Yarrowia lipolytica: one gene and its partner. The protein of the gene in region 2 binds, or shares a complex with, the protein of the main gene of each other region. Links are inferred from orthologs where the notes say so. Each region holds a gene or a part of one and is shown on either strand. Other genes may lie near its edges.

Evidence for each region. The genes of interacting proteins can lie anywhere in the genome.
Region 1: the proteins of YALI1_D35635g (region 2) and YALI1_B23771g are in contact, whole or in part, in an NMR structure (PDB 2GGP), measured with the Saccharomyces cerevisiae proteins. The link is inferred for Yarrowia lipolytica from reciprocal best matches to the Saccharomyces cerevisiae genes CCC2 and ATX1. Residues at the interface, in NP_010556.1 of Saccharomyces cerevisiae: Cys13, Ala15, Cys16, Thr19, Gln23, Glu60, Asp61, Cys62, Gly63, Phe64, Asp65; in NP_014140.1 of Saccharomyces cerevisiae: Thr14, Cys15, Gly17, Cys18, Ala21, Lys24, Val25, Lys28, Lys59, Lys61, Lys62, Thr63, Gly64, Lys65.

Annotation. Positions count from the first base shown.
Region 1 is NC_090771.1:2,374,678-2,379,191, reverse strand, and holds YALI1_B23771g (uncharacterized protein), read right to left. Parts: upstream 2,120-4,514; coding exon 2,077-2,119; intron 1,610-2,076; coding exon 1,431-1,609; downstream 1-1,430. Other genes in the region: YALI1_B23794g (uncharacterized protein), read left to right, coding at 1-1,157; YALI1_B23744g (uncharacterized protein), read left to right, coding at 4,240-4,514. UniProt on the Saccharomyces cerevisiae protein: Copper homeostasis factor that specifically transports copper to the secretory pathway for incorporation into copper enzymes destined for the cell surface or extracellular milieu.
Region 2 is NC_090773.1:3,561,857-3,567,666, forward strand, and holds YALI1_D35635g (uncharacterized protein), read left to right. Parts: upstream 1-1,611; coding exon 1,612-4,413; downstream 4,414-5,810. Other genes in the region: YALI1_D35593g (uncharacterized protein), read left to right, coding at 1-237; YALI1_D35624g (uncharacterized protein), read left to right, coding at 499-507, 552-794; YALI1_D35669g (uncharacterized protein), read left to right, coding at 4,981-5,810. UniProt on the Saccharomyces cerevisiae protein: Copper-transporting P-type ATPase necessary for the proper uptake of iron. Required for export of copper from cytosol into extracytosolic compartment.

The sequences.
Region 1 (4,514 bases), on a different chromosome or scaffold from region 2:
TGCTTCTGAAAGATGTCGGAGATGAGCCCTCCCGAACCCGTTTTTCACTCCCTGAGGAAGTCAACATCTTCCTGCAAACCCGACGACCTTCCAACGTGCTTCCCAACAAGCCCAATGGCCGAAACATGCTGTCCATGTACTCGTCTGTTGGTGTGGTTGACATTGATATTGACCAGTTTCCTCTCATGGCCAACGCTGTTGCTCCTGAAGTGTTTGTAGCTCCGGCCGATGCATCTGGTCTCAGTCCCTCGGGAGCCTGTCCTGGATCCAATAAGGTCAAGAAGATGGTGATGCGGTCTCAGCGGTGGCTGGAAAAGTGCGTGGCCGACGTCAAGGTCCCTATTTACGCCTCGATTCTGCCTACTCTTCCCGTTTTGCACCAGAAGGAGTATCTTAAGACAGTGGTAGAGAACCAGGATAAGATCAACGGTCTGGTATTCCACACTCGAGCCGAGCACTCTGAGTACCCCGATCAGACCATTGATCTCAGTCGATTCGACTCCACCCGAAAACCCACAGATGCCGCTGCTGCCGAAAGTGCAGCTCGTAAGGCTGCCGCTCAGGGACCCACTGACGGTAATGGAAACCCTCTGGATGTCAAGACTGAGCATCTGACGGGCCCCAAGCCTGTTTTGGACGAGCTCAAGAACCTCGGAATGGGCAAGACGATGCCTCTCTACCACTCTGGACAGTGTGACACTCCCCAGCAGATGCTTCTGCTCATCCAGCAGGGCTTTGATCTGCTGAGCGGATATTCTGTCGAGACCTTTTCGGACGCTGGAGTCGCTCTTGATTTCACCTTTCCTGCCACTCCGGGTGCTGTGTTTGGACACAATCTGTGGGACCCCAAGTTCAAGAACGACTTTTCTCCTCTGGCCGACTCCAACCAGGCCCTCAGTGCACCACATCACCGAGCATACTTGTACCATCTGTTGGACGCGCACGAGATGTTGGGTCACGTGATTCTCGAACAGCATAACCTCGAGATTTACAATCGGTTCCTGGCTGGAGTAAGACGGAGCATTGAGGCCGGCACGTTTGACGCCGATGTCAAGGATTTTTTTGAGGTCTACGGAGATTCAAAGCTGGTGTTGAAGCTGGTTGAGATGGGAGAAAAGTTGCAAGGTAGCCATGGAGCTGATAAGGATCGATTCTGAACGAAGCAGTACGCTTCTGGGCAGAGTGGAGGCTTCCGAATCAAGTGTATCTTCCGGCTCGGACAAGCAAAAAGGACAGATGAAGAGTCGCGGGAATATATAGACGTCTGACAACTGAATCTCAGACGGTGTGTATGTATTCATATGTATTTTTAAGCATTGGTGTAGTATTCGTATTCATACTGGAGACCTATTCAGTCCATTTGCTTGCTCCTGTGTATTACATGCGGACGACCTCATTTCATCTCATACATCTCATTAAATAAGTTACATTTAGGCAATGACCTGACCACCGTTGACCTTCTTGCCGGTCTTGGCGATGGTGGCGAGAACGTCGTCGTAGGAGACGGCGTCGTCTGTCTTGACGAGCACAGACTGCTTCTCAAGGTCGATGTCGACAGAGGTGACACCCTCCTTCTTCTGAAGGACTCGGTTCACAGCGTTGGAGCATCCTGAGTTAGCCAAGAATGGGTTGACTGAGTACAAGTAGTAGACTGGCAGGTCATAGTGGCGTCAGACCAGTAAGATCAATCACCAGTACCAGAACTTTTTTGAAAACAGCATTAAGGGCGTGGTCATGAGCCGTGATGAAGTGCAACCACGTAATCAAATCCACAGGGAATAGATTCATGGACATGAACAGCATTGATCCCGAAGTTTTCGGTTGATTCGGTGGTCGAGCATCATGATTCCTGATCTGTCTTAACACTCATTGAGCAAAAACAGGACTGATAACAGCATTATGACATGGACATTATCACCGAACTTCATACCATGACCCATCTCCATCTTTTGAGAGCTTCTTCGTCATCGTCGTCGTCATCAACTGCTAACTTCCACCACTACCAACTCCACCACTACCAACTCCACTACTACCAACTCCACCACTACCAACTCCACCACCTCCAATCCTACTCACCGGAACAGGACATGGCAACGTCGTACTTGTATTCGTGGGCCATTTTGTGATTGTGTGTTGACAAAGTTGGTGGGACAAGTTGAGATCGACTCTCTGTTAATATAGTCTGCAGCGAAAAGAGCTCAGCGGAATTTAACCTTGGGGAGGACATGACGCTGCATAGACGAGCATTTTTGGTGGAGTGATTTCACGTGACACCAACAGAGCCGTGCTGGAAATACTTGGTCGAGTGGGCATATAATCATGTCTCGTGAGCTATTTAGTTGCGTAAGAACCCGAAATTGTGACATCTCCTACTTTTACTGCAGATCTGATAAATGTCAGTCCAATCTCCTGGGCATTGGCCGAAGATACTGCAACTCTAGGTGCCACAAGTCTGAAATGAAAGTCTGAAATGAAAGGCTGAAAGTCTTGGAGCCAAGCGACAAGTGGTGGTGGAGAGCGACTCGTGGGGCACGGAAGCCTTGTTTGAATGACAGGGCTGACGGTATATTTCACTACAAACCGGGTCTTTCAACAAACAACTTTAGTCTGGCAACTAGAAATCCACGTGGGAGACCCAAACCTCCTCGTCCAACCGCATAAACAGCTCATGAGAGCCGCAGCAAGTGTTTCGGGTGGCACAGGTTGTACTGAGGATAGTTACATCAAATTACCGTTGATGGATACGGTACGGCACGAGTACGGTACTACAAGTAGTAGTATGGTACATGTTGTAGCCAACTCAGGGAGTAACTCAGAGGCAGTATGTATTGTAGTAGACTACATACTGTACATGACTCGTAGAGTCAGCTAAGCAGGAGTCGACTCAGCAAGGCTCGGTAAGACTACTGTAAGTCAGCTCAATTCTAGCCATGGAAGTCCGAGGAGGCTCTGTGTACGAAACTGAGACTGTTCTATGTCGTGATCGTAGATGAGCGGGGAGTATTTACAGTATATATATAACGTCGCACTTGAATAGTATATACAGTAGTACTGTAGTATGTACTGTACATTCGAGTATGTACTGTACATTCGAGTATGTACTTGAATGGTATAGTATAATACTTGAAGGTACAGTATATACCGTACATATTGTACTTAAATGGTACTCGTACAGATTGTGCTAGTAGATTGTCTCTCAGAACAGGTAGCTATAGTATGTACACCACCTACTTACATACTCGTACATACGTACAGTAGCTGATGATATCTGTAGATCTTCCAGTTTTGACAGTTTCAACAGTTTGACAACCTCAAAAGAACCTCCACGATAAGCCGTATTTGAAACTTTGGAACGCAATCTAAGATATCGGACTTCTCCTGTCAGACCATCTCAGCCGCCCACAGGTGCATGAGGAGATGAGGTCAGAGGAGAGGACTGTCGTTTGTTTCGGTGAACGATGACCGCGATCTGTGTGAAGATGAGCTTTGTGTAATGATCATGAGCTCTCTGATATTGATAGTTGTCAGTTTTCAGGGCTCTGTCACTGGCAGCTTTCATCGTGTTCTGACCATCATCAGTGTATGCCACTGCTGTAAAACCCATTCCTTGAACCCCTCACGCAGTCTCCACTGTCTTCAGATTACGAGTGTACGCGCGTCTAGACCAGCTCATTATCATACTTACCTGGTCATACGCCCTCCTTGCTCCTCGTGTATGCAAGTCCAGGTGGTTGTTTTTTGTTGTTTTTTTATTGTTTTTTTATTTTTTGTTTGTCTTTCTTTCTTACTTTCTTTCTTCTTTCTTTATTGTTGCGGTCCAGACTGCGGGTGCCGGAATCGAACCCGGGTTGCTTGTTTTTTGGTGGGGTGACCGAAAGGGAAGGGCGCCATGAAAAGCGCAAAAAACGAGAAGTGGAGCCTTTGAGAACTACAAGTACTGTACATACTGCGAGACTGGGTAGACGACAACGGCCAATTCCAGAATATGAAAATCAGCAGGTGCCGGATGTTGAGGGTGTGGTCGAGGACATCGAAGGTCTGGTGGAGGATGTCGCGGTCGAGAAGCTGTCGAGGAGCTTGTGGGAGCTGATCAAGGAGTTGATCAGAACTGATTCCTGACTGAGTTCGCTCAAGCCTTCCCATCTCGGCAGACGACGTCCTCTTCGTCGTGCTTGACGCATAGATGACCACGTATTGCTCAAACGCCGTACAGACTGGACGCCGACAGAATGCCACAGAATGCCACAGAATGTACCGTATCACGGAGGCAGTCACCTTAGCCGCTCCAATATCGTTCTATATCGTCGTCGCTCACTTGCTCTTGCATGTCCGAGGGCTGTCATTCTGCTGTCAAAGCACTGGTCTTGGTCCAAATCTCCCGCCATGGTTCGTTTTGGCAGCCATAGACCGGACTTATACGGAAGCGTCGGTCTAATCACGTCTATTGAAAGGCGCTATAATTCCGAGATCCAGCAGACGCCACTCGGATACCAGCTCTCTGAACGTCGAGGTCG
Region 2 (5,810 bases):
GACGATGAGGAGTTTGTGGACGCTGAGAGCGACGCGCTGGAGGAGGATGACGACGATGATGATGACGTCGACCTAGACAACGACTCTGACCACTCCCCTGTCAAGCCGCCCTCGCAGATGCAGCGAGTCATCAACAAGACTATTGAGGACAACAAGGGCCTGCACATGGATGAGGATGACGTTCAAAAAGCCATGAAGGCCCTGAAGATGGAACGAGCAAGCATCAATCCTGAGTAAATAGGAAATCAAGCATAAATATATCCGTACTGTACACCGTAGTTTGTGACGTCGAAGGGGAGGGGGACAAGAGAGTGAAAGTGTAGCTACTTGTAGTATGTATAAGTTGTGCGTACCTGAATGTCACGGGACCTGCGATACGAATGCTGGTGAGACCCAACCATGGTTCCCGCTAGAAAGCCAAGATATTATCTGGATCTACAGCTGAGTTTGACGTTATTTTTTTCCCTCCTGAAAGGCTTTGTTAGGTTTGCATCGTTCATGTATTTGGTGTACACCTTTTTCGGGTTCCGATGGTGCTTCCATAGGTGGAGGAGCAGGTCAGAGACACATTGTTTGTGGATAGCGGATTGTTATGCCCCGAGTGGAGCATCATTTTAATCGCAGGAGTTTATTATATACTGTGTATACAGTGCACTAATTTTTCCCCTGTCTCCTCTACACTCCCTTACGTCATTAAATGGCCGCTACTGTATTCACACTCTTCCGACCCGGATCAGATAAATTTTTCAAGAACTTTTTTATCTGATTTGTATGCATGGTTTGGGGGCAAGTAAGCCGTACATAGGAGGCCTGGAAGTAGGGGCAAAAGTGGAGAGTCCCTGTAACCACTGGTTTGTGCAATTTTGGGGGTCGCAAATACATTGCCACAACGTGGGCGCCAGGAGTTTACAGACGAGTCTATATACGGGCGGTCTTAGATGAATTTTACTACTGCACGTGTGAGCAATTTGAGGGCCTGTGTTGACGGGTGCGAGTTTAACGTGCAGGGTTCAGTGGGGTGATTTGAGCCGACAAAAACAAATGTGAGGCGATGATCATGGTGTGACTGGGGAAGTAAGTATATACGATTTGGTTCTGCTCGTCTGGGGGGTTTTAGCACCAGCCATACCACTGGTAGTGGGTCTCTGACACTAATGGTATTTTCTGTCGCCACCTATACACCCGACAAGACGCATCTCGGCTCGTGCCGTTTTACCTTTGGCCAAGCAGGTTCAAGTGAACTTTGTCAATTGGAGAAGTGCAAAGCCAAAATTCACCAGCCCTCATATCATCACTCCACATCTCAGTTGCCCGACTTGGTCACTCGATACACCGGCTGCGCAAGCGACTCACATACGACAGGTGTCCAAAACCAGTTTCCACTGAAAATACCGCAACGTGTAGCAACCCAAGTGAACTATCAGCTGTCTCTTCACCTCACATCACATCACAGCCATTACACAGCACTTGACCAAAACAGAGGGCTCGCCAGTATCAACAAGTGTTGCAACCACATCTTGATATTGAACGCTCATCGACATCTGCACCGCCAAGCAGAGCTCATCTCTTCCACACGCTCAGATTAAACCAAAAGTGCATAATTTGCTCACCATGAAAGAAGCTGGTGATAGCTCCACAACGCCACCTAAGCCCGACACCACCTCGGCTTACCAGGTCGGCGGCATGACATGCGGATCGTGCGTCTCCGCCATCATCAACGGCCTGGAGGCATGTCCCGGTGTCACAGAAGCAGCTGTGTCTCTGGTCACCGAACGAGCCAGTGTACACCACAACAAGAGCATAATCTCCGCCGAAGAGCTGCAGGAAAGAATAGAGGACTGCGGCTTCGACGCCTCGCTCATCGACTCATCGCCGATAGCTGCGCCCGTCAGCACACCCATGGAACGTCTCAAGGTTAAGATCTTCGGAATGACCTGTTCCAGTTGTACCAACGCAGTGCGAGACACTATCCAGGACATTAGAGGCGTCGCCAATGTCGTGGTTGCTCTCGCGACTGAGGAGGCCACCATTTCTTTCAATCCCCAGGAATGTGGAGCTCGAGACATCATCAACGCCATTGAAGACTGTGGCTTTGAGGGCGTCCTATCTGCACAGCAAGATAACGCTACCCAACTAGCAAGCTTATCTCGAATCAAGGAGATACAGAAATGGCGAAGCGACGGTATCCAGTGTTTCATTCTTGGTCTGCCTGTGATGTTGCTCACTCATATTCTTCCCATGGTTGGTCTCCAGCCTCTGCATGATCTAACCATCTTCAAGGGCCTGTACGTGGACGATCTCGTCTGCTTTGTGCTGGCAACATACATCCAGTTCTGGCTGGGCCACAAGTTCTATGTCTCTTCGCGACGAGCTCTGTCCCATGGAACTGCCACCATGGACGTGTTGGTGGCCATCTCCACCTCCTCAGCCTACTTCTTTTCTGTCTTTTCCATGCTCTATGCGATCGCCACTGTGGCCGATACTCACCCTCATACTCTGTTTGAGACTTCGGCAATGCTGATTGCCTTCACGACCCTCGGAAAATACTTGGAAAACCGAGCCAAGGGACAGACCTCGGGTGCCCTCAGTAAGCTTATTTCCCTGACTCCTACCACTGCCACTATTCTCAAGGACTCCTCCAAGTACGACCCCAGTATTGTATACGACGAGTCTGCCGAGATGGATATTGCTGCCGAGCTTCTTCAGAGAGGTGATATTGTCATTCTCAAGCCTGGTGCCAAGGTACCTGCTGACGGAGTCGTCGTTTCCGGTGAAACTTATATCGATGAGTCTCTTCTCACTGGAGAGTCTACTCCTGTGGTCCGAAAGGTTGGAGACCAGGTTGTGGGTGGCTCCATTAACGGCTCTGGGCGTATTGACTTCCGAGTCGAGCGTGCTGGTAAGGATACTGCCCTTGCCAACATTGTCCGGCTAGTTGAGGAGGCCCAGACCTCTCAGGCCGAGATCCAGCGATACGCCGACAAGATTTCCGGAGTCTTTGTGCCATGTGTTGTTGCTCTTGCCCTGCTTACCTTCATCTTCTGGATTATCATGAGCAACGTCATGAAGCATCCTCCTAACGTCTTTTCTCTGCCCGAAGGAAAGTTCCTCATCTGTCTTCGTCTGTGCATCTCTGTCGTGGTCGTTGCTTGTCCCTGTGCTCTTGGTCTTGCCACTCCCACAGCGGTCATGGTCGGAACTGGTGTTGGAGCTACTCATGGTATTCTTGTAAAGGGCGGAGCAGTTTTGGAAACCGCTTCAAAGATCAAGACTGTTGTTTTCGATAAGACTGGTACACTCACCACCGGCCGAATGACCATTCAAAAACACGTCTTTGAGAAGGATACTCTCAAGAACCTCAACATGACCGAAACTGAAATGTGGCTAATTCTGGCTGGCGTGGAGGCTTCGTCTGAACATCCCATTGCCCAGTCTCTAGTTCGACAGGCGAAGGAGGCTGCCCAGGTTGAGGATGTTCCCGGTGTGGCTGACTTTGTTGCTATTGTTGGTCAGGGTGTTACTGGTGTAGTTGATGGCCACAGTGTTGCTGTTGGCTCTTCTGAGCTTGTCAACTCGTCCTGCAAGTCGCTGGATAAGCCCCCCGCCACCCCTCACTCCCCTGACAACCCTGCTACTGTGATCCATGCTTGTGTTGACGGCCAGTATGTCGGTTACATGGCCTTTGCTGATAGCGTCAAGTCCGACGCTCGAGCTGCAGTGTCTGTGCTCAAGAAGATGGGAATCAACGTCGCCATGATGACCGGAGACAACCACTTCGTTGCCCACGCTGTTGCTGATGAGGTCGGTATCCCCCGATCCAATGTCTGGGCATCGACCTCGCCTGCTCAGAAGCTCGCCATCATCGAACAGCTGCAGGAGCCCCAGGACCCCAACGAAGCTGCTGACTCCACAGATCTGTCTCTAAATGCCTCTGTGGTTGCCATGGTCGGCGATGGTATCAACGACTCGCCTGCCCTGGCCAAGGCTGCTATTGGAATTGCAATGTCCTCCGGAACCGACATCGCCATGGACGCTGCCGATATTGTGCTGCTCAACAAGGAGAGTCTCATGGACGTCCCTGCCTCCATTAACCTATCGCAGGTCACCTTCCGACGAATCAAAATCAACCTCGTGTGGGCCTCCGTGTACAACCTGATTATGATTCCCTTTGCTATGGGCTGCTTCCTGCCATTCAACTTTATGCTGCACCCCATGGAGGCATCTGCAGCCATGGCGCTGAGTTCCGTGTCTGTTATTGTTTCTTCTCTGGCTCTCAAGAAATGGCAACCCCCCAAGGACACCGAATATGGCTCTGACGAGTGGCGAGACATGGAGAGCCAGACGGTCAAACCCAAGCGGCGTTGGTGGCAGAAGCTCTGGAGAAGCGAGGGTGTTCGATACGAGCGGCTCTAGGCAAACCGGGCAACTGTGGTTTGCTGTAAATTATTATAGACTTTATGAATAACGATGTATAATGGTGCACTTCTTGGTGGTGCTCTTGTATCGTCTCTGGTGTGCATGCACTGCAGCACATGTGAGATTAACCTTGATAGGGGTGGTTGTATCTCTCGTTTATGGGGAAAGAATATGGCTGAGTAGCGTATCTACGACACTGTAGCAGCTCTATGTTAAAGTGCCGTACATTGGCGTGTACTCGTAGCGTTTTTAATTCCCTACTTCCTATGTTCTTATACTGACTTTGGTAGTCTACAAGTGCTCGTAGTATAATCAAGTACATACTGCATACTGTACATACATACTATACATAGCGTAGCGTACCAAGTAGTGGTGCTAACAACTTATCGCTTGGAACAATACAGAGGAAGCCTAAACGAGTATAGAGACCGAACCAAGCGCCATTGTCTAGATACACCATCTTGAATTCTCTAATTCCCTCTCTCTTCTCGGATAGTTCACGTGACCTTCTCCAAAAGCAGATCTTAATTAGATCGGCAAGCAAACCCTAACCCAATCTCCTGTATGTGCTTCAAAACATGGCATGATAACATAGAGGAAAACGACATGTCTGATGATTTACGCCCGTATCAATTGGACCGGCCGGCCAACCAAACAGGTCGGCCTCAGCCTCTCGGCCCTGGCGACTCACCCACCGTGTCTCCCACAAATGGTACAAAACCAGCGGGGTCCAAGCGCAATTTAATACCCGCGACAGAGAGATCATTTTTGACCGTGTCAAACACAATTGGAGCGAGCGCCTCTTCCAACATGACCTTTGATGTCCAGAGACAGACCATAGCATACACTGCCGGTACAGGCGCAGTTCTGGGTCACTACAGCACGTCTTTGGGTCTCAAACAACGGTACTTTTGTTTGAGGAACACAGATCAGCTCAATGCGTCTTTTGAAGCGTTCCAAATCACAGCTACGCGAGACAGCTACGGGTTTTCATCACAGACACAGTATTTGGGAGCGTCGGAAGAATCTCCGGTGGATGCTTCGCCTCCTAAAATGCCTTCTCCTGTGAAAGAACGCGCCAAGAGTGCTACTGCTGTGGCTATCAGACCAGATGGGCGCCTATTGGCATTGGGAGAAACCGGGCACAGTCCCAAGATTTCGATTTTCAGCACAGCACCGGATTCTGATTCCAGTTGTCCGGTTGCAGTGATCACTCAGCACTCTTTTGGAGTACGGTTCCTGCGATGGTCCCCTTGCGGGACATTTCTGGCCTCTTTGGGAACCCTAAATGACGGTTATCTTCACATTTGGCATGTCCAGGACAAGGGTGTACGTCTACATTCGTCCAACAAATGCATATCCCAGGTGGAAGACATGCGGTGGCTCTCGGACAA